3 linked regions of the Saccharomyces cerevisiae S288C genome follow. The protein of the gene in region 2 interacts with the protein of the main gene of each other region in a biochemical or structural test. Each region holds a gene or a part of one and is shown on either strand. Other genes may lie near its edges. The genes, in order: KAP120, HO and PUF4.

What was found.
Region 1: the proteins of HO (region 2) and KAP120 form a complex in vitro, tested with the Saccharomyces cerevisiae proteins (one study listed by BioGRID).
Region 3: the proteins of HO (region 2) and PUF4 are reported together in a solved structure, tested with the Saccharomyces cerevisiae proteins (one study listed by BioGRID).

The regions. Positions count from the first base shown.
Region 1 is NC_001148.4:308,840-316,986, forward strand, and holds KAP120 (karyopherin KAP120), read left to right. Parts: upstream 1-4,548; coding exon 4,549-7,647; downstream 7,648-8,147. Other genes in the region: HHO1 (histone H1), read right to left, coding at 1-765; NAN1 (Nan1p), read left to right, coding at 1,371-4,061; SPC29 (Spc29p), read left to right, coding at 7,916-8,147. UniProt on the Saccharomyces cerevisiae protein: Functions in nuclear protein import as nuclear transport receptor. Serves as receptor for nuclear localization signals (NLS) in cargo substrates.
Region 2 is NC_001136.10:45,771-52,705, reverse strand, and holds HO (Hop), read left to right. Parts: upstream 1-4,674; coding exon 4,675-6,435; downstream 6,436-6,935. Other genes in the region: septin SHS1, read right to left, coding at 1-261; GTPase-activating protein GCS1, read left to right, coding at 533-1,591; Hsp70 family ATPase SSB1, read right to left, coding at 6,800-6,935. UniProt on the Saccharomyces cerevisiae protein: Initiation of mating type interconversion. This protein is a site-specific endonuclease that cleaves a site in the mat locus on chromosome III.
Region 3 is NC_001139.9:463,277-471,291, forward strand, and holds PUF4 (Puf4p), read left to right. Parts: upstream 1-2,864; coding exon 2,865-5,531; downstream 5,532-8,015. Other genes in the region: KAP122 (Kap122p), read left to right, coding at 1-1,635; BIL2 (Bil2p), read right to left, coding at 1,767-2,159; drug-responsive transcription factor PDR1, read right to left, coding at 5,816-8,015. UniProt on the Saccharomyces cerevisiae protein: Is not essential for haploid growth, but may affect diploid formation.

The sequences.
Region 1 (8,147 bases), on a different chromosome or scaffold from region 2:
TTTGACCTTCTTCTTGTTTAGTTTAATAATGCCGGAGGGGCCCTTTGGTTGCACTAACTCGCCGTTTTCAACACATTTCTTGATAGCGCTATTGAACAGATAGTCAAAATTTGAGCTTGTTTTCAACTTGGAGGAGAAAGTGTCCTTGACATACTTCTTTAAAACGATACGGCTGGAGCCCTTACCGTCATTAAGTTGAGGCATGCTTTTAAGGATCATTTCCTTGTAGGTCAATGAAGAAGGCGAAGAGGCCTTCTTGGCGGTAACAGTAGGCGATTTTTTTTTCACTACTTTCTTTGGCGCTAGCTTCGTGGATGCGGCTTTCGCTTTTGATGCGGTTGCACTCACAGAAGTGGCGGCTTGCTTGGGTTTTGGACTGACCTCTTTTTCTTTCTTTACTTCTGGAGATTTCTTCTTGGCCAGTTTCACAGCACCAGCGGGTCCCTTTGGCTGTTCAAAATCGCCGGCCTCCACACCCTTCTTTATGGCATTGTTGAAGTACAAATCAAAGTTGCTTGCGGATCCGACGATCGGGTAGTTTTCCTTGATAAACTTCTTGAGTGCCGGACGACTGGATCCCTTACGTTCCTTCAAAGCCGTGAGCCCTTCAATGATCAACTCCCTGTAACTCTTGGAGGAAGCTTCCTCCTTTTTTGCCGTGGTTTTCTTGATAGCGGCCTTGGAAGTTGATTTCTCCTTGCCTTTGCTGGTTGCAGGCTTCTTGCCCTTACTTGTGGTCTTGGTAGTGGATTTCTTGGGTGCCATGTTGCTTTAGTTGTATTATAATTGCTTCCCTCGCTGCCAAGCATTATCAGGTGCCCATAAATAACAACTCCCCAAATCTATAGTTGCTCCTCCTCTTTAAATAAAGGCAGATAAACAAAAAACTTTGACCGCCCGCTTTTCCACACAAAAAACAAACAACAGCAGAAAACGCGACGCGAAAATGAAAAGCCAAAGAGAACAAACAAAAATCATCCATCAAACCTGTTATTGTGCAGAATAGCTTTTACCTAGACGCAAGTCCCTAGGAGGGGGCATTTTTGACACAGAATAGCATTTCATCAAAGCAAACAGCAACTTCTTGGAGATTTGTATTGCTTGGCATGTCAAAATCTAGCGGTCACATCAGTAGGGTAACAAAATAGCACGTCAGGGTTAAGGCGGCCTACTGCTTAGGGTACGTGGTAAGTGATGTAAAATGTGAGAAGGAGAAACTAGAAAAAAATTTTCCTTTCTTTTTCCTAGCGATGAGATGAGATGAAATTTTTCGAACAAATGATTTTTGGCACAGTTTACATATCAGTTATATTGGCTGTCGTCACAGGAACTACAAGTACAAACCAGAACCATTTTAGCTGATCACCAGAATGACGCAATCCCTAGGTATCGAACAGTATAAACTGTCAGTCGTATCTGGTGGGAAACCCGCTTTGAATAATCTCAGTTCAGTAACCGGCAATAAGAATATCGCCCGCCTATCACAAGACCAACGAAACTATATTATACCCTTTAACAATCAGATCAAGGTGTATTCTGTGGAAACTAGACAATGTGTTAAGACTCTAAAGTTTGCAAATAACTCCTTGTTATCCGGAATATTTCTGCAAGAAGAAGAGAATAATGAATCGATTGTAAAGATTCTGCTGGGTGATATAACCGTTCCGCAACAAGAAGACGCTCATCTGATTACCGTATTCACCAATAATGGTCATGTAATTGTTTTAAATTATAAGGGGAAGCTGGTCGAGTCCCCTAAGCATTTCAAAATCTCTTTGGCAGATGAAAAGCTTGCAAATGTTTTCCATAGCGAGGGCAACTATAGAATTTTGACAACGTTCAAGGACCCTAGTCAAAAGGCACATAACTCTTTGCAATCGTACAGGTTATATGCATTAACCTTTGACGATGCTAAAAAGCAATTTGAAGTGGCTCATCAGGCAGAATGGCACAACGTTATCTTGTCAAATATTTCTTCCAATGGTAAACTGCTAGCGCATATGTGCAAAGACGTCTCAACAAAAGATCACGAACACAAATCCATCTCAGTTGTTTCGCTTTTTGATGATTCTGTAAATTTAAGCTTTCCCCTCGGTTCCATCCTTTCTTCACAGACTCAATCCCTATCCTATAACACAAGGTACGTTTCTAGCATGGCCATAGACAATATGGGTCAACAACTGGCTGTTGGATTTGCCTCCGGAGTTATAAGTATCGTAAGCCTGGCCGATCTACAAATAAGACTGCTCAAATGGCATATAGACTCTGTGCTGTCACTCTCATTCTCTCACGATGGATCCTATTTGCTATCTGGTGGTTGGGAAAAAGTTATGAGTTTATGGCAATTGGAAACAAACTCTCAACAATTCCTGCCTCGTTTGAACGGTATTATAATCGACTGTCAGGTATTGGGACCTCAAGGGAACTACTACTCTTTAATCCTACAAATGACTGAAAACAATTCAAATTCTGACTACCAATTTTTACTTTTGAATGCTTCTGATTTGACCTCCAAATTGTCGATTAACGGGCCATTACCGGTGTTCAATAGCACCATAAAACACATTCAGCAACCAATCTCGGCCATGAATACCAAGAACTCCAACTCAATTACCTCTCTCAATCACTCTAAGAAGAAACAATCTAGAAAACTAATTAAATCGAGAAGACAAGATTTCACCACTAATGTAGAAATAAACCCTATTAACAAGAACTTGTATTTCCCACACATTTCTGCTGTTCAAATTTTTGACTTCTATAAAAATGAGCAAGTTAACTATCAGTATTTAACATCAGGTGTCAACAATTCTATGGGTAAAGTTAGATTTGAACTGAATTTACAAGACCCAATAATAACTGATTTGAAGTTCACCAAAGATGGGCAATGGATGATTACATACGAAATTGAGTATCCGCCAAATGACCTCTTATCTTCCAAGGACTTAACTCATATCTTGAAATTTTGGACCAAAAACGATAATGAGACAAATTGGAATTTGAAAACGAAAGTAATAAATCCACACGGGATAAGTGTCCCAATTACCAAGATATTGCCTTCACCAAGATCAGTTAATAATAGTCAAGGCTGTTTAACGGCTGACAACAACGGTGGACTGAAATTTTGGTCCTTCGACTCTCATGAGAGCAACTGGTGCTTGAAAAAAATTTCTTTACCAAACTTTAATCATTTCAGTAACTCCGTTTCTTTAGCTTGGTCTCAAGACGGGTCTCTAATATTCCATGGTTTCGATGACAAGTTGCAAATTTTAGATTTCGACACTTTTAAAAAGTTTGAATCATTGGAAAATACAAAGACGGTCAGTGAGTTCACGTTAGACTCTGAAATCCAAACCGTCAAGTTGATTAATGACACAAATTTAATAGTGGCCACCAGGACTACATTAAACGCCATCAACTTATTGCGGGGTCAAGTCATAAATAGTTTTGACTTATATCCGTTTGTTAACGGAGTGTATAAAAATGGTCACATGGATAGGCTTATTACTTGTGACGAAAGGACAGGCAACATTGCCCTGGTTATAAATCAACAACTAACTGATCTCGATGGCGTACCAACTATCAATTACAAATCCCGTATTATTATATTCGATTCTGACTTATCTACAAAATTGGGTAATTTTACGCATCATGAATACATATCTTGGATTGGTTGGAATTATGATACTGATTTCATATTTTTGGACATAGAATCAACACTAGGTGTTGTCGGAACCACTGTGAATACTCAACTATCTGATGAAGTTAATAACGAAGGAATATTGGATGGCCTGGTAAGTAACACCATCACAACTTCGGCATCCAATAGCGATATTTTTGCAGAACAATTGCATAAACTGTCGTCTAGGGGCAAAAAAAGTGACACTAGAGATAAAAATACCAATGATAACGACGAAGATGAAGAAGATATCGCTTTGGAATTTATAAATGGCGAAAAGAAAGATAAGCTAGTCAATATGAATAGTTTTACGAGCATGTTTGACAACATTCAAAACGTGCAAATGGATACATTTTTTGATCGTGTGATGAAAGTATTAACATAGCTTTAGGGTTCTTCCATTGGATATCCAAAATAGATATAAAGGTATATATATATATATATATATATATATGTTTATAAAGCAAACCGAAAGCAAAAATATCTGTATAACTTAGTTACAAGGGAAGGGAAGAGAATGCATTGGTTAATAGGAACAGACACTTCGTAAAAAGCTTCACAATCATTAATGTTAATAGAACTATCATAATATACAAAAAATCTCTTCATACGATTTTTGTTTGATGAGCATCCTCAGTCAAGATGAATAAAATAATCTCTCCAAATAAGCCGCCTCTTTTTTTTTGAATTACACTTCTATAGCGTACATTTCCATGTAAGAAGATTGAAGTTTCAAACAATTGGGTAGCTTAATATTTGTCAAACTTCTTGGTAGGTGTTGTGTTTAAGAAAAAGGAGGCACCATAAACTATTAACTTTTTAGCTTGCCTCAACTGTCAACCGAATCAAATTTTAAAAGGCGTTAAACAAAAATGGCCTCGTCTCTTAACGAGTTAAACTTGGTTCAAGTACTTGAACAAGCAAGTAACCCACAACATATTAGGTCAGATGTTCAAAAATTAGCCGAACAACAACTAAGACAATGGGAGACTCAAGCGGGATTTCATTACTTATTACAGTCAATCTACCTTAATTTATCTAATTCTTTACAAATTAGATGGTTGGCGGTAATTCAATTTAAGAACGGCGTGGATAAATACTGGAGATCCACTAGAATTAACGCTATACCTAAAGATGAAAAAGCCTCGATAAGAGGTCGTCTTTTTGAAATGATCGATGAACAGAATAATCAACTTTGTATTCAGAATGCCCAAGCTTCCGCAAGGATTGCAAGGCTAGATTTTCCCGTAGAGTGGCCAACCTTATTTGAGGATCTAGAAAACCTATTGAACGATGAGATCATCAGAAAAGATTCAGTTAAGATTTACAATATATTGATGCATATAAATCAAATCGTTAAAGTATTAGGTACTGCGAGAATAGGAAGGTGCCGACCCGCTATGCAAAGTAAAGTTCCTTTGATATTACCACTAATTGTCAGGATTTATTTACAATCATTTGAAGAATGGACGACATCCTCCAATCTCAACTACGAGGATCTTTCCAGTTTACAAGTTTCTTACCTAGCTTTGAAAGTGCTCAGAAGGATAATTTGTGAAGGATACGACCGCCCTCAAACCGATCAGTCTGTTTGCGATTTTATTAAACTATCCGTTTCACACTTTGAGATGTTAATTTCAAACCATGAAAACTTCAAAAAGTTTGATATTTACGAAAAGTTTATCAAATGCCTAGGAAAGTTATATTTCAATTTAGTCACTGGCTCTCCGGCTAATTTCATATTACTGCCATGCTCTACGCAAATTCTAATCACTTATACTAGGCTAATTTTCGATAAGGCCCCTAAAGTATATAGAGAGAATTCTGATGTCACGGGGGACTTTTGGGAACAGACTGCTATTAGAGGGCTTTTAATTTTGAAAAGGGTCATTAATTTCATTCACAAAAAGGGGGCAATTACGTTAAAAGCAAGAAGTGATAAACTAACCATAGATGCTTCTATCAACAAAATCAACACAGAATTTCTGAATGAGAATTTGATAACAAGGTTGGTTGACACTTTAATGGAATGGTACTTGAGGTTAAGACCAACTGAATTAGAAAATTGGTTTATGGATCCAGAAGAATGGATAAACGAACAAATGGCCACGAGTTACGAATATCAAATCAGACCATGTGCAGAGAACGTTTTTCAAGACTTAATGAATACTTTCTCTGAGCTGTTGGTTCCCTACCTGTTAAAGAAAATTGAAAATGATGCTTCAAAGCTATCAAACTCATTAGACGATTTTTTAAGGAAAGACGCAATTTATGCAAGTTTCCAATTAAGTGCATCCGCTGTTAGTGAAATGGTAGATTTTGACAGGTTACTAATTCAGGTTTTTTTACCAGAAGCTACAAATACAAACATATCAGGCGACGAATTAAGGATTATCAGAAGAAGAGTTGCTTTAATTATAAACGAATGGTCTACTGTGAAGTGTTCGGAAGAATCTAAAAGTTTATGTTACAAGTTATTTACAAACTTCCTGACAGATGAAGACGACAAAGTTGTTTTGTTAACCACAGTCCAGACTGTCAGAACCATGGTTGATGACTGGAACTTCAACAAGGATACTTTTCAGCCATTTTTAACTGAAAATGTTCATTTATTGTTGAGGAAAATTTTACCATCTGTGTCGTTAACCGAGACAAGGCTATATGTTTTAAACACCTTGAGCGATATCATAATTCAAACAAAACCTTTAATTAGCAGGGATCTATTAGTCGAAATTTTGCAAATCATACCAAACCTTTGGGAAATAGCAACAAATAATGCTAGTGAGGCTATTTTGGCAAACGCATTGTTAAGGTTATTGAGAAATTTGGTATCATCTTTGGGATCACAGTCACATTTAACGTGGGATATCGCCATACCTGTGGTTGCATTAGCCTGTGATCCCTCTTCTATGCAATATCAGTTGTTAAGCGAAGACGGGTATGAACTATGGGGCATGCTTCTTCAAAATTTTTCATCCCACGATCAAGAGTTTGACGATAAGTTCGTTGAATTGGTGCCATTTCTAAAGTATGGTATTGAGACACACACAGAGATTCTCCCAACTTTACTTGAAATTATCAAAAGTTATGCTCTGATTCTGAATCCTGTGGATTTTTTCTCTAACAACACATTTCAAGATATTTTTAAACAAATGTCTAAATATCTTTTAAAGTTAAGGGAAGATTCATTTCAGTTGGTTTTAGAAATCTGGGAAATTTTGATATTATCCAATGAGTCGGATTACGAAAATCTGTTATTGCAAAAATTCTATGAAACCGGAGTATTATCAGCATTATTCGATGCCATTTTCCTGGAAGAAGCTCCTTCATCTTATTTATGCTCGCAAATCATTCAAATCATCGCTAGAATATCCTACGTGAATCCAGACGCCTTAATGACTTTTTTAGCTACATATCATGACAATCTACCAACTTCTAACGAAAATGCACGCATGCCGGAATCAATAAGAAAAATTGTGTCTAAGGATCAGACGTATGATTCCGTTGTAAACAAGCTTTTAACCGGATGGATAGTATGTTTTAGAGATATCTTTGATCCTAAATTCAAAAAAGTTCACATATTAGGTATTTCAAGTTTACTAAGGACTGGTTTAGTTCCTATTTTGACTGAGTTTTCATCCATCGCATCTTTATGGATCGAAATGCTCGAAGAAATTAATGAAACTAATCGTGGGGATTGCGAAAAATACCACTTGAATGATATTGTTACAGAGCAATCAATTGCATTCCATCCTTTAACTGCCGAACAATTAAGATATCATCAATTATGCAAAAACAATGATCCAGTGCATAACATTAGTTTAAAAGATTTTATTTCCCAATCAATGGAATATCTAGAATCACATTTAGGAGTAGAAAGGTACCAAGAATTTTTGAAGACTATTAACCCTAGTTTACTAGAGAACTTACAAATGTTTTTATCCATCCAGCCTCAAGAGGCTCGTCCATGATAGTAATAAGTACTAAATAAAAGTAAAAAATTGTATATAGTTCGACTAACAACATTACAGTGGTATCTTTTGATCGCGCATTCTATACTTTTATTTTGCTACTAATTAGATGTCGCAGTTTTTTTTGTTTGCTTTTTGCGTAATACAAAAACAAACGCGAAAAGTGTTCATGTAATATAATGAAGTAAACCAAGTCTCACGGAATAAAATCACCTTCTTCCAATTTTGTAAAAGTTTAACCAAAGATCCAAAGTGGCTTGTAGGAATAATGGATTATAGTAACTTTGGAAACAGTGCCAGTAAAAAGTTTCAAGACGATACTCTAAACAGAGTAAGAAAAGAGCATGAAGAAGCCTTAAAAAAGTTGCGAGAAGAGAACTTCAGTTCAAACACGTCAGAATTGGGAAACAAGAAGCACTATAGAGCACAGGAAAGGATGAGTTCGCCATTACATAGATTGTCTCCCACAGGTAAATCAGACGATAGGAAAGTGAAGAGCC
Region 2 (6,935 bases):
AGATGGAATCCCATTTTTCGAATTAAATGAAACAACTTTTGTCGGAGCAATAACTTTTACTTCTGGGTTAGAGCTAATACTAGCATTTGATTTACCGTATTGATACTTATGCGGAAAGATCTTAGTTTCCAATAGATTGTTAGCAAAGGCGGTCTTTCCTGTACCTGCTGGCCCACATAGTAACATTGTGTATGTGATCCCACGTTTATGTTCTTTCTTTCTACGAAATAAGTTAATTGGCGGTGTTGAAGCAGTGCTCATGATTAATAATATATTTTTCTAGCAATTATAAGCAGATCTTTGGGGCTCTTGTTTTATTATTTCACTTGCTGGGTACATTGATCTTGCTCGAAAGCTTGTTATATTCTTTTCGCAGTTTGGCACTTTAAAAATCGCGCGGTTACCCGCAAGCAACGCCAGTTTTTGTCAAGAACCAAATTGCACAACTATATCAAGAATGAAAGCAGAAATATGGACGTGATTCTGAGTTTAAATGGTGCCAATTGAGCAATTTTATCGCGGATTATAGAGCATGTCAGATTGGAAAGTGGACCCAGATACCCGCAGGCGTCTTTTGCAATTGCAAAAGATTGGTGCAAATAAGAAATGTATGGATTGTGGTGCGCCAAATCCACAATGGGCCACGCCTAAGTTTGGAGCTTTCATTTGCCTTGAATGTGCCGGTATCCATAGAGGGCTTGGTGTGCATATATCTTTTGTAAGATCTATCACTATGGATCAGTTTAAACCGGAGGAACTTCTTCGTATGGAAAAAGGTGGTAACGAACCTTTGACTGAATGGTTCAAGTCGCATAATATTGACCTGAGTTTACCACAAAAAGTGAAATACGATAACCCCGTCGCAGAGGATTATAAAGAAAAGTTAACATGTCTTTGCGAAGATAGAGTATTTGAAGAGCGTGAGCATTTGGATTTTGATGCTTCCAAGTTATCAGCAACCTCTCAAACCGCTGCATCCGCTACGCCTGGTGTTGCTCAAAGTCGAGAAGGGACACCACTGGAGAACCGTCGATCTGCAACACCAGCAAACTCTAGTAATGGTGCCAATTTTCAAAAGGAGAAGAACGAAGCTTATTTTGCTGAGCTGGGCAAGAAGAACCAATCTAGACCAGATCATTTGCCCCCTTCTCAAGGTGGTAAATATCAGGGCTTTGGAAGTACACCCGCAAAACCTCCACAAGAACGGTCTGCAGGGTCCAGCAATACTTTGAGCCTGGAAAATTTTCAAGCTGATCCTTTGGGAACATTGAGCAGAGGATGGGGCCTCTTCTCCAGCGCTGTAACCAAATCGTTCGAGGACGTAAACGAAACGGTTATTAAGCCTCACGTCCAGCAATGGCAATCCGGAGAGTTGTCAGAAGAAACGAAGAGAGCAGCTGCCCAGTTTGGCCAAAAGTTTCAAGAAACGAGTAGTTATGGATTCCAAGCATTTAGTAACTTCACTAAAAATTTCAATGGTAATGCAGAGGATAGCTCTACAGCAGGGAATACAACCCATACAGAATATCAAAAGATTGATAATAACGATAAGAAGAATGAACAGGACGAGGACAAATGGGACGATTTCTAATTTTAATATAGTTTTTCTCAACATTCAAGGAAAGTTCAATTCACATTGTAGCTATAATGGAGAAGTGGTTCTGTAAAGTTTACACGTAATACTTCTGTCTCTAAATTTGTATTTTTCATATCTTGACAAGAAGAGGTTTACTCTCTAGGATTATAAATAAGTCTACACCAGTATTCATAAATAGTTACCACAAGGCCATATCGTAAATTATTATACAACCTATTAATTACAAATAGAATTGCAATCCTTTCCCATCGGCGTTGTTGTACTGTTGCAAGGCTAATGACGGCTATTATTAAAAAATGTTTTAGACCTGGGACAATCGTTATCCTTTTCTTCATTATTTGGATGTTTGCGCCTTAAAATTATCCTGGGCACGAGTGAAACAAAGCTAAAACCTTTATTTAGCATGGCCATTGAATGTAACAATTATATATATCGCAAGCACAAAAAATCAAGGAGAGAGAACTACCACTTTGTTCATGTGTACAATGTTCATTATCTCCATAAGCAAAAAAAAAAAATAGAAAACATATGCTATAAGGTTGATATTCTCACGAGTAAGCGGCACTTGCTACTTATTGACATTGCAGATTTTTGGCTACAGAAATAGTATATTAGAGATTATAATTGCTAATCAAATCAAAATATAAAATTAGTAAACCAAACCATTTATACCCTTCCTTAGTAGTTATGGATTGTTTTTTAATGATATTTCTGCAAACCAAAGAAAGATTGTTATCCAGATAGAATTTAGTTTTGATATTCATTTTTTTGTTGAAGATTGAACGCCATATCTGGGCCTCATAATTCAAAAGACGGTGCCATTATCGGTAGCGTTTCGCATTGTACTGGATTTCAGAAATTTCACAGTTGATGAATCGAAAAGAATGGTCTCATTGCAACACGTAAGGTTAAGATGTCCCTTTTTACCATTATAGGCAATAAATGAATCATAAAACGACCGTATACTGGTGAAATAGTAGGGAGAACGAGTACCTGTAGTAAAAAGTATAAATCATAGTTAATCGGGCAATGTCCCTCGATCAAGGAGTATTGTGTCATGTTCGAGACAAACGCCAACATTTTTGTTTCTTTTGGACAAATGTTGTTTGCATTTATGATCCGTTATATTTTGATCTAATGTAGAGTTGCACGTAGTTCTTACTGGCAAAGAAATCGATGCATACCAAAAAAGAATAAAGGTGATATTTGATCTTTACCGTTTAGTTCCAACGTAAAATTGTGCCTTTGGACTTAAAATGGCGTGGCAGAACTAACTCTTTATTTTTCCAAATCAGAAAAATTAATATGTTTTGCCGCGTTAAAACCTACATCAAAAAAGGCGGATCAAGATGTATGAAAGAAAGTGCGTAGAATAACGAACATTCATAGCTGTTCTGGAGGCTTTACAAAAGGTAATCTTTGTTAGGTGCGATTTTATCCGAAAAGCAATTACTCTCTATGTTAGTCATACAAACTGACTTCTGTGAGAGAATTATTTTCATATCAACGTAAGATCACATGGTTCCTTTATCAAGTACTACTATCATTCCATTATATGACCTATTTACTTCTTGAATCTTAGAGCTCATAATTCAAGCAAGTTGCGGAGCTAAGAATTTCACATGTTGTTGAACTTAACAATCTTCATTATACCCAATCGCTGCGTGCTGGAATTATGTTAAAAGTTACATCCTTTTTTTCATTTTTCCCTACGCTCAGGGCACTGTACTGCCCGTGCCTGCGATGAGATACATCAATTTAAAAAAAAAACCAGCATGCTATAATGCTGGAGCAAAAATTTCAATCAGAAATAGAAAAGACCTCAACAGTAATTAACCCAAAGGGGTATCAAATAATCGATGTGCTTTTTCACTCTACGAATGATCTGTGAGAAACTGATTTGGGCCGAATCGCGTAAAAAGTTTGATTCGTGGCGGCTAATGTCTGAGGGGCTCCAACAGGCTCGTAGAGCCTCGTTTCTTGAGGGCACAAAATGTCCAGGTAATATTCCCAAGAAAGAACCGCAGAGTGCTTTGATAAATCGGTTACAGGTCTTAACGTAGGTTTTGTCTCGCTAATTGCTATTGAGTAAGTTCGATCCGTTTGGCGTCTTTTGGGGTGTAACGCCAAACTTATTACTTTTCCTATTTGAGGTTGGTATTGATTGTTGTCAAAGAATGAAAATATACACAAACGCCACAATATACGTACCAGGTTCACGAAAACTGATCGTATGGTTCATACCCTGACTTGGCAAACCTAATGTGACCGTCGCTGATTAGCGGATCACGAAAAGTGATCTCGATACAATTAGAGGATCCACGAAAATGATGTGAATGAATACATGAAAGATTCATGAGATCTGACAACATGGTAGACGTGTGTGTCTCATGGAAATTGATGCAGTTGAAGACATGTGCGTCACGAAAAAAGAAATCAATCCTACACAGGGCTTAAGGGCAAATGTATTCATGTGTGTCACGAAAAGTGATGTAACTAAATACACGATTACCATGGAAATTAACGTACCTTTTTTGTGCGTGTATTGAAATATTATGACATATTACAGAAAGGGTTCGCAAGTCCTGTTTCTATGCCTTTCTCTTAGTAATTCACGAAATAAACCTATGGTTTACGAAATGATCCACGAAAATCATGTTATTATTTACATCAACATATCGCGAAAATTCATGTCATGTCCACATTAACATCATTGCAGAGCAACAATTCATTTTCATAGAGAAATTTGCTACTATCACCCACTAGTACTACCATTGGTACCTACTACTTTGAATTGTACTACCGCTGGGCGTTATTAGGTGTGAAACCACGAAAAGTTCACCATAACTTCGAATAAAGTCGCGGAAAAAAGTAAACAGCTATTGCTACTCAAATGAGGTTTGCAGAAGCTTGTTGAAGCATGATGAAGCGTTCTAAACGCACTATTCATCATTAAATATTTAAAGCTCATAAAATTGTATTCAATTCCTATTCTAAATGGCTTTTATTTCTATTACAACTATTAGCTCTAAATCCATATCCTCATAAGCAGCAATCAATTCTATCTATACTTTAAAATGCTTTCTGAAAACACGACTATTCTGATGGCTAACGGTGAAATTAAAGACATCGCAAACGTCACGGCTAACTCTTACGTTATGTGCGCAGATGGCTCCGCTGCCCGCGTCATAAATGTCACACAGGGCTATCAGAAAATCTATAATATACAGCAAAAAACCAAACACAGAGCTTTTGAAGGTGAACCTGGTAGGTTAGATCCCAGGCGTAGAACAGTTTATCAGCGTCTTGCATTACAATGTACTGCAGGTCATAAATTGTCAGTCAGGGTCCCTACCAAACCACTGTTGGAAAAAAGTGGTAGAAATGCCACCAAATATAAAGTGAGATGGAGAAATCTGCAGCAATGTCAGACGCTTGATGGTAGGATAATAATAATTCCAAAAAACCATCATAAGACATTCCCAATGACAGTTGAAGGTGAGTTTGCCGCAAAACGCTTCATAGAAGAAATGGAGCGCTCTAAAGGAGAATATTTCAACTTTGACATTGAAGTTAGAGATTTGGATTATCTTGATGCTCAATTGAGAATTTCTAGCTGCATAAGATTTGGTCCAGTACTCGCAGGAAATGGTGTTTTATCTAAATTTCTCACTGGACGTAGTGACCTTGTAACTCCTGCTGTAAAAAGTATGGCTTGGATGCTTGGTCTGTGGTTAGGTGACAGTACAACAAAAGAGCCAGAAATCTCAGTAGATAGCTTGGATCCTAAGCTAATGGAGAGTTTAAGAGAAAATGCGAAAATCTGGGGTCTCTACCTTACGGTTTGTGACGATCACGTTCCGCTACGTGCCAAACATGTAAGGCTTCATTATGGAGATGGTCCAGATGAAAACAGGAAGACAAGGAATTTGAGGAAAAATAATCCATTCTGGAAAGCTGTCACAATTTTAAAGTTTAAAAGGGATCTTGATGGAGAGAAGCAAATCCCTGAATTTATGTACGGCGAGCATATAGAAGTTCGTGAAGCATTCTTAGCCGGCTTGATCGACTCAGATGGGTACGTTGTGAAAAAGGGCGAAGGCCCTGAATCTTATAAAATAGCAATTCAAACTGTTTATTCATCCATTATGGACGGAATTGTCCATATTTCAAGATCTCTTGGTATGTCAGCTACTGTGACGACCAGGTCAGCTAGGGAGGAAATCATTGAAGGAAGAAAAGTCCAATGTCAATTTACATACGACTGTAATGTTGCTGGGGGAACAACTTCACAGAATGTTTTGTCATATTGTCGAAGTGGTCACAAAACAAGAGAAGTTCCGCCAATTATAAAAAGGGAACCCGTATATTTCAGCTTCACGGATGATTTCCAGGGTGAGAGTACTGTATATGGGCTTACGATAGAAGGCCATAAAAATTTCTTGCTTGGCAACAAAATAGAAGTGAAATCATGTCGAGGCTGCTGTGTGGGAGAACAGCTTAAAATATCACAAAAAAAGAATCTAAAACACTGTGTTGCTTGTCCCAGAAAGGGAATCAAGTATTTTTATAAAGATTGGAGTGGTAAAAATCGAGTATGTGCTAGATGCTATGGAAGATACAAATTCAGCGGTCATCACTGTATAAATTGCAAGTATGTACCAGAAGCACGTGAAGTGAAAAAGGCAAAAGACAAAGGCGAAAAATTGGGCATTACGCCCGAAGGTTTGCCAGTTAAAGGACCAGAGTGTATAAAATGTGGCGGAATCTTACAGTTTGATGCTGTCCGCGGGCCTCATAAGAGTTGTGGTAACAACGCAGGTGCGCGCATCTGCTAAAATGTGTATATTAGTTTAAAAAGTTGTATGTAATAAAAGTAAAATTTAATATTTTGGATGAAAAAAACCATTTTTAGACTTTTTCTTAACTAGAATGCTGGAGTAGAAATACGCCATCTCAAGATACAAAAAGCGTTACCGGCACTGATTTGTTTCAACCAGTATATAGATTATTATTGGGTCTTGATCAACTTTCCTCAGACATATCAGTAACAGTTATCAAGCTAAATATTTACGCGAAAGAAAAACAAATATTTTAATTGTGATACTTGTGAATTTTATTTTATTAAGGATACAAAGTTAAGAGAAAACAAAATTTATATACAATATAAGTAATATTCATATATATGTGATGAATGCAGTCTTAACGAGAAGACATGGCCTTGGTGACAACTCTCTTCAAACCAACTTCAGCCTTTCTCAATTCATCAGCAGATGGGTCTTCGATTTGCAAAGCAGCCAAAGCATCGGACAAAGCAGCTTCAATCTTGGACTTGGAA
Region 3 (8,015 bases), on a different chromosome or scaffold from region 2:
ACTGATGTTTTGTTTCGAATTGAAACGATGTGTTTTGTTTTGAATACTATATTGGTTGATATGACTCTATCAGAAAGCCCATGGATTAAAAATATCGTTGATGCCAACAAATTCTTCAACCAAAATGTCATATCCGTCTTCCAAACTGGTTTCCAAACTAGTGCCAGTACAAAAGTCAGTCAAATTTTGAAACTTGACTTCGTAAGAACAAGTACAACTTTAATCGGCACTTTGGCTGGTTATTTTAAACAGGAACCTTTTCAATTAAACCCATACGTGGAAGCTTTATTTCAAGGTTTGCACACTTGCACCAATTTTACTAGTAAAAACGAACAAGAAAAAATTTCGAACGATAAACTTGAAGTTATGGTTATCAAGACTGTTTCAACATTATGTGAGACATGCCGTGAGGAGTTGACTCCATATTTGATGCATTTTATAAGCTTTTTAAACACAGTCATTATGCCAGACTCCAATGTTTCACATTTCACTAGAACTAAATTGGTTAGATCTATAGGTTATGTCGTTCAATGTCAAGTCTCCAACGGTCCAGAGGAGCAAGCTAAATATATTTTACAATTGACGAACCTATTGAGCGGCTCAATAGAGCATTGTTTGGCTTCATCGGTACAGTTACAAGAACAACAAGATTATATTAATTGTCTATTATACTGTATATCTGAGCTAGCAACAAGTTTGATCCAACCTACTGAAATCATCGAAAATGATGCATTACTACAAAGGTTATCTGAGTTTCAAAGTTTCTGGTCCAGCGATCCCTTACAAATCCGATCGAAAATTATGTGCACCATTGATAAGGTCTTGGATAATTCAATATATTGTAAAAACTCCGCCTTTGTGGAGATCGGTTGTTTGATTGTTGGTAAAGGATTAAATCTGCCCGACGGGGAACCGTACTTCCTCAAGTACAATATGTCTGAAGTTATGAATTTTGTTTTGCGGCATGTCCCCAACTGTGAGCTTGCTACTTGCTTGCCTTATTTTGTTTATTTATTAGAAAAGCTTATTTCAGAGTTCAGGAAGGAACTAACACCACAAGAATTTGATTTCATGTTTGAAAAGATCCTTCTAGTCTATTATGATGCATATATTATCAATGATCCGGACCTTTTACAAATGACAATAGGTTTTGTTAATAACGTTTTGGACGTGAAGCCAGGCTTAGCTATTGGCAGTAAACATTGGACATCATTTATTTTACCTCAATTTTTAAAATTAATACCTTCAAGAGAAAAGTTCACAATTGTTGCGGTGGCAAAATTTTGGACTAAGTTGATCAATAATAAGAAATACAACCAAGAAGAACTCACAACTGTTAGGCAACAAGTTTCCTCTATAGGAGGAGACCTTGTGTACCAAATTATGTATGGCTTATTCCACACACAAAGGTCCGATCTGAATAGTTACACAGATCTGCTAAGAGCTTTGGTAGCCAAGTTTCCAATTGAAGCAAGAGAGTGGCTCGTTGCTGTTTTGCCCCAAATATGTAACAATCCTGCAGGTCATGAAAAATTTATTAATAAATTACTTATTACGAGAGGAAGCAGAGCAGCTGGAAATGTTATTTTGCAGTGGTGGTTGGATTGTACCACACTTCCAAATTACCAAGGATGATTTGTTAAGAATTTCTCCGCTGAGGGTGAAGGCTATTCTTTGTTACATTTTATTTAGTAATGCGTTGATCCTTTTTGATAGATTTTTTTTTTGTGCTTTAAAGATAGTAGCAGTATATATGTGTGTAAAAGCTAATCATCAGAAGTGCAGCATTCATTGCTAGTATTTAGTGATAAAAATTTTAGAATTTCCATTTCTAATTGTAATTGCTTTTCATTCCAATACATGTTTGAGCTTCTGGGGGGTAAAAATACATTTCCAGACAGGGCGTCAGGTTGAAAGCAGTTACTGAAACATAGAGAGTCGACGTCAGGAGGAGGCTTCAAATGGTTTTCTGAAAGTGATTCGGTCTTATTTTTCCATTTTCTAAAATGGTGAATCCTTTCTCTGGAAATGTGTGATCCCTTTGCCTTTTGTGAAAACTTTTTTAACGAGCTTTTTAGGTTATTAGTTGTCTCAAGAAGGTTTATGGGCCCGCTGGTCTCGATATCTGCGTAATTTAATGGACGTATCGTGTCTTCCATGGAGTGAATTGTGATTTGTGAATTATATCTGTCCAATACCGTTGCCTTGTTGGGAGCTCAGATAGAAAAGACATCTTAATTCCAGACAGTCTATTCTCTGTCTATTTCTCTTTGTGACTGCAAATTTTAATTTGTGACGCCTTTTCTTATTACTCATGTATTTGTCACTCTTGACGATTGTTTTTTTTCTATATTTTTTTTGTTCTGGGGTCCTCCAGAGAATAAAAAATAATGATCAATATAGTAGATAGTATAGTTATATTCTTATTCGTTGCACCTTGTTTAACAAATCACTCAGACTCAAAGAGAATATCGGTTGGTTATCTCTCTCCGAAGGTGAACAGCAAACAGTACCTCACGTCTTTTTTTTGAATAGTTTTTTTTTTTGTTGAAACAGAAAAAAAACTTTCTTCCGTATATTACATTGTACATTATTTTTATTGTATTTTAGTTTCCAACGTTAGGATTTGAGCCGTCATTAATATTATTCGTTTTTGTACACTATTCCAGACGATTTATTTTTAGTACACTTAAAATTCCTGTTGATATTGTCCACTAGTTCTCTTTTCATATTTTATTTTCGCTTATTCTTTAGGTTCTTTTAAGAGTCTCTGTTCATTTTCCGTTCTTACTGTTTCTTTGTCCTCGATATCTTTTAAGAAAGAGAGAACTAAGCGCTGTAACATTTTTAAGTGGACCTACGTTATGTCTACAAAAGGTTTGAAAGAAGAAATCGATGATGTACCATCAGTAGACCCTGTCGTTTCAGAAACAGTCAATTCTGCTTTAGAGCAGTTGCAACTAGATGATCCAGAGGAAAACGCCACCTCTAATGCATTTGCGAATAAAGTTTCTCAAGATTCTCAATTCGCTAATGGCCCTCCGTCGCAAATGTTTCCACATCCACAAATGATGGGTGGAATGGGCTTCATGCCCTACTCTCAAATGATGCAGGTTCCTCATAATCCTTGTCCATTTTTTCCGCCCCCTGATTTTAATGATCCAACAGCACCATTGAGTAGCTCGCCCTTGAATGCAGGCGGTCCACCAATGTTATTCAAGAATGACTCACTTCCATTTCAAATGCTGTCTTCGGGTGCTGCGGTAGCAACTCAAGGTGGACAAAATCTAAACCCATTGATAAATGACAATTCAATGAAGGTATTGCCAATCGCATCGGCTGATCCGTTATGGACTCATTCAAACGTACCAGGATCAGCATCTGTAGCCATTGAAGAAACCACCGCTACTCTACAAGAAAGCCTACCATCTAAGGGCAGGGAGTCTAATAATAAGGCTAGTTCGTTCAGAAGACAAACTTTTCATGCTTTATCACCAACTGACCTTATCAATGCGGCCAACAATGTAACCTTGTCAAAGGACTTCCAATCTGACATGCAGAATTTTTCTAAGGCTAAGAAACCGTCTGTAGGAGCTAACAATACTGCAAAAACCAGAACTCAATCCATATCTTTTGATAATACTCCCTCCTCAACGTCATTTATACCCCCAACCAATAGTGTTTCTGAGAAATTATCCGATTTCAAAATAGAAACCTCGAAGGAGGATTTGATTAATAAAACTGCACCAGCTAAAAAAGAGAGTCCTACAACTTATGGTGCAGCATATCCATATGGGGGACCTTTACTTCAACCAAATCCTATTATGCCAGGCCACCCACATAATATATCCTCCCCTATCTATGGTATTAGATCACCTTTTCCTAATTCTTATGAAATGGGCGCGCAATTTCAACCTTTCTCTCCGATTTTAAATCCTACGAGTCATTCACTAAATGCAAATTCTCCAATTCCTCTAACCCAATCGCCAATTCATCTTGCACCAGTTTTAAACCCTAGTTCAAATTCTGTTGCCTTTTCAGATATGAAGAATGATGGTGGTAAGCCCACCACCGATAACGACAAGGCGGGTCCAAATGTTAGGATGGATTTAATAAATCCTAATCTTGGGCCATCAATGCAACCTTTCCACATATTACCTCCCCAGCAAAACACCCCCCCTCCTCCCTGGCTTTATAGCACTCCACCTCCCTTCAACGCAATGGTTCCGCCTCATTTGTTGGCTCAAAATCATATGCCGTTAATGAATAGCGCCAATAATAAACATCATGGTCGTAATAACAATAGCATGTCAAGTCATAATGACAATGACAACATTGGTAATTCTAATTACAACAATAAAGACACAGGTCGTTCTAACGTTGGTAAAATGAAAAATATGAAAAACAGTTATCATGGCTACTATAATAACAATAATAATAATAATAATAATAACAATAATAATAATAACAGTAATGCTACCAACAGCAACAGCGCGGAAAAACAACGTAAAATTGAGGAGTCGTCGAGATTTGCGGACGCAGTTTTAGACCAATATATCGGAAGTATTCACTCATTGTGTAAAGACCAACATGGTTGTCGTTTTCTGCAAAAGCAGTTGGATATTCTCGGCAGTAAGGCGGCGGACGCAATTTTTGAAGAAACTAAGGATTATACGGTTGAATTGATGACTGATTCATTCGGTAATTATTTGATCCAGAAGCTATTGGAAGAGGTTACCACAGAACAAAGAATCGTACTCACAAAAATATCTTCCCCTCATTTTGTCGAAATTTCCTTAAACCCTCATGGTACTAGGGCATTACAAAAACTCATTGAATGCATCAAAACAGATGAAGAAGCACAGATTGTTGTTGATTCTTTACGCCCTTATACTGTCCAGTTGAGTAAGGATTTAAATGGTAATCATGTTATTCAAAAATGTTTGCAAAGGTTGAAGCCTGAAAACTTCCAGTTTATCTTTGACGCAATCTCTGATAGCTGTATTGATATTGCTACTCATAGACACGGGTGTTGCGTTTTGCAACGTTGTCTAGATCATGGGACTACAGAACAATGTGACAATCTGTGTGATAAGTTGCTAGCCCTTGTTGATAAATTAACTTTGGATCCATTTGGCAACTATGTGGTGCAATATATAATTACCAAAGAGGCTGAGAAGAACAAATATGATTATACGCATAAAATTGTCCACCTGTTGAAACCAAGAGCCATCGAACTTTCTATCCATAAATTTGGATCAAATGTGATTGAAAAAATCTTGAAGACAGCTATTGTTTCGGAGCCAATGATTCTGGAAATTTTAAATAATGGTGGCGAGACGGGTATTCAATCATTGTTGAATGATAGCTACGGAAATTACGTTTTACAGACAGCATTAGACATTTCTCATAAGCAAAATGACTATCTCTATAAAAGACTATCAGAGATTGTGGCGCCTTTACTGGTGGGCCCCATAAGAAATACACCTCATGGTAAAAGAATCATCGGAATGTTACATTTAGATTCATAGTTGATACATATATCCTCAGTTTAGCTTTTTTTACGTTAGCCTCATATAATATCTTTTGTACAATACTAAAATACATCATTTTTTTTTTCGTTGAGGATCAAATGAATATCCAAAGCAAAAAAAATAGGAATTTTCACTTTATGGTATACTGGTAAATAGTGTTGAAGAAATAAGAGAAGGAGATGCCCTAGAAAACAGAATGTTCTTATTTAAATAAGTAAACTCAAAAGAAAAAAAAAAGGAAGGAAGTTTTTGAGAACTTTTATCTATACAAACGTATACGTTTAACTATCTGGATAAACGTCGCTCCACAGGATACTGTAGAGGTCCTCAAGATCACCGTTATTAACAAATTCATCTAGTGTCCCCAAATTAAAACTAGTTGCAGAAAAATTGTTACTGTTGTTGTTGTTAATATTGTTAATATTGTTTTTATTGTTGTTGTTGTTGTTGTTGTTGTTATTGATTTCATTTGTGTTCATAAATGGTACTTGTACTGAAGTGGGTATTTGCTGCTGAGCATTGATTGGTTTATTAGATTGGACTTGCGTATTATTTTGCCCATTTGTTGGTTGCGCGTAATCGGGATTGATCATATCAGACACGGATAATGACCTAAATGAAGGCAATTGTGCAAACTCCGGTAGTGAGTTGTTTCTCACTGGGGAAGGTGCTGAGCGACCATTGAATGGCAATTGAGGCGATTCAATGCCATTTAGTAAGCATGAAGTGCCCGTCTTAAGACTTGGGAGATCCGGATTCAAATTTTTTCCCGAATTATGCTTCATCTGCTTATTATCTTCATTTGACATTAGTGGTTCCTGAAACTTTCTATTTTTCAACATTTGTGAGACCGTTAAATGGAATCCTGACTTCTGAACAGGTTCTAATAAAAATCGATAAGCGCAAGAGTTTGTATCCAAGACAAGTTCTATTATACCTTTTAAATCTGGCGCATTCTCATCAATATATTTGGAGATAACATCGAGGTTGGTGCTAGAGGACTCTCCGTATGCCAAAAGCATGATACGAGTGACGATTGTCAGGAAAGAAAAAGCTCTTGTATAGTCTTTAAAGCTTTGGCTGTTGAAGACATGCTCATTGGTCTCATTTTCGGAAAAAATTTTTATATCCAAAAATCTTTTGAAGACTCTAATCATATTCACAACGTCATTTACTTTAATGAATTCGGCCACTGAGAATGCTTGTGATACCAAAATAATGCAACTGATAGAATAATGGGCGAACGAACGGTATACGGAATAATCGTTGTCAAAGTCTAATAAGATTTTGTTCATATCGGTCCATGATTTGTAAATCTTGTGAAGGTATATTTTCAAGTTTTCAATTAGTATTGAGGGCCTTCTGTGCACGCATAATCTGGCGACAATATTATCAGATTCGTTAACCATTCTGCAGAAATGGTGCTCGTAAAATAGAACAAATTTTGAAGCCATAATCTTATCCTCTCTTGAAACTTTGAGTTCAGTACTATCTTTAGAGAATGCAATATCGAACAATTTTCCAGTTTGCTCTTTGATAGCATCATATTTCATTTCTGTTTCGTTAAAAATCTCGAGTACCTCGAAGAGTAGTTTCTCTCTAACAACAGATGGTTTTGATGTATTCCTAATTGACGTGAATTTTTCATTGAATAAAACAGATGATGAGAAATGGCTGACTATTTGTAAGACAGCTAATTCGCCATAGTATTTTAAGTCGGATATGCACATGTTGTCAAAAGCTTCGCTCCTGCGAACTAAGTGGACGTTCTCGATAAAATCTCTATTATCCAAGAACCCAACATCTCGAAAATTCTTAGGTAATAAACAATTGATTTTGGAGTCATCAATGTTCGAAGGATAGCCAAGTTTAGAGGCTAAAGTTTTCTCGAAATAGAAAGCTTTCCACCAGAGATTTCTTCTTCTTTCAGCAAAGTTTTCATCAAGACCCACGTAAAATTCCCACCTTGATAAACCAACTCTTGAAACAAAATGAACTGCTACGTTCAAGACTTTTTCAAAACCGTATATTTCCGATAGCCAAAATAGCAGATCCAAAAAGTATAGAAGTTGCTCTAAATGCGTTATGTCGCATGTGAAGTCCACGTAGTTGTATAATGTAGAATTATAATAGCTGTAACATAAGGCGATTAGCGCCTCTCCAGCTTGACAATAATGGATGAATTCCTGCAAGACATCAATTGACTGCGTGTTTTTAGCCACGGAGGGGTTAGATGTGATTTCCATTAGGAAGTTCTGGTAGGAATTTTTATGCATATCCAACATCTTCAATAAAATGCCAAACATGCTGATATCATTATTCATTTCGCTTAGTAGCTCAGAATTACTTATTCCGGTTATATTTCTCACAAAGGGCTGCGGTAAGTGATTTATCACTAACGCAACATGCGATTTTGTGTGTGCTGTATTCGGGCTCCCTGCAGATGATATCGAAGATGGGGTTGAAGGTAAAAGATTCATT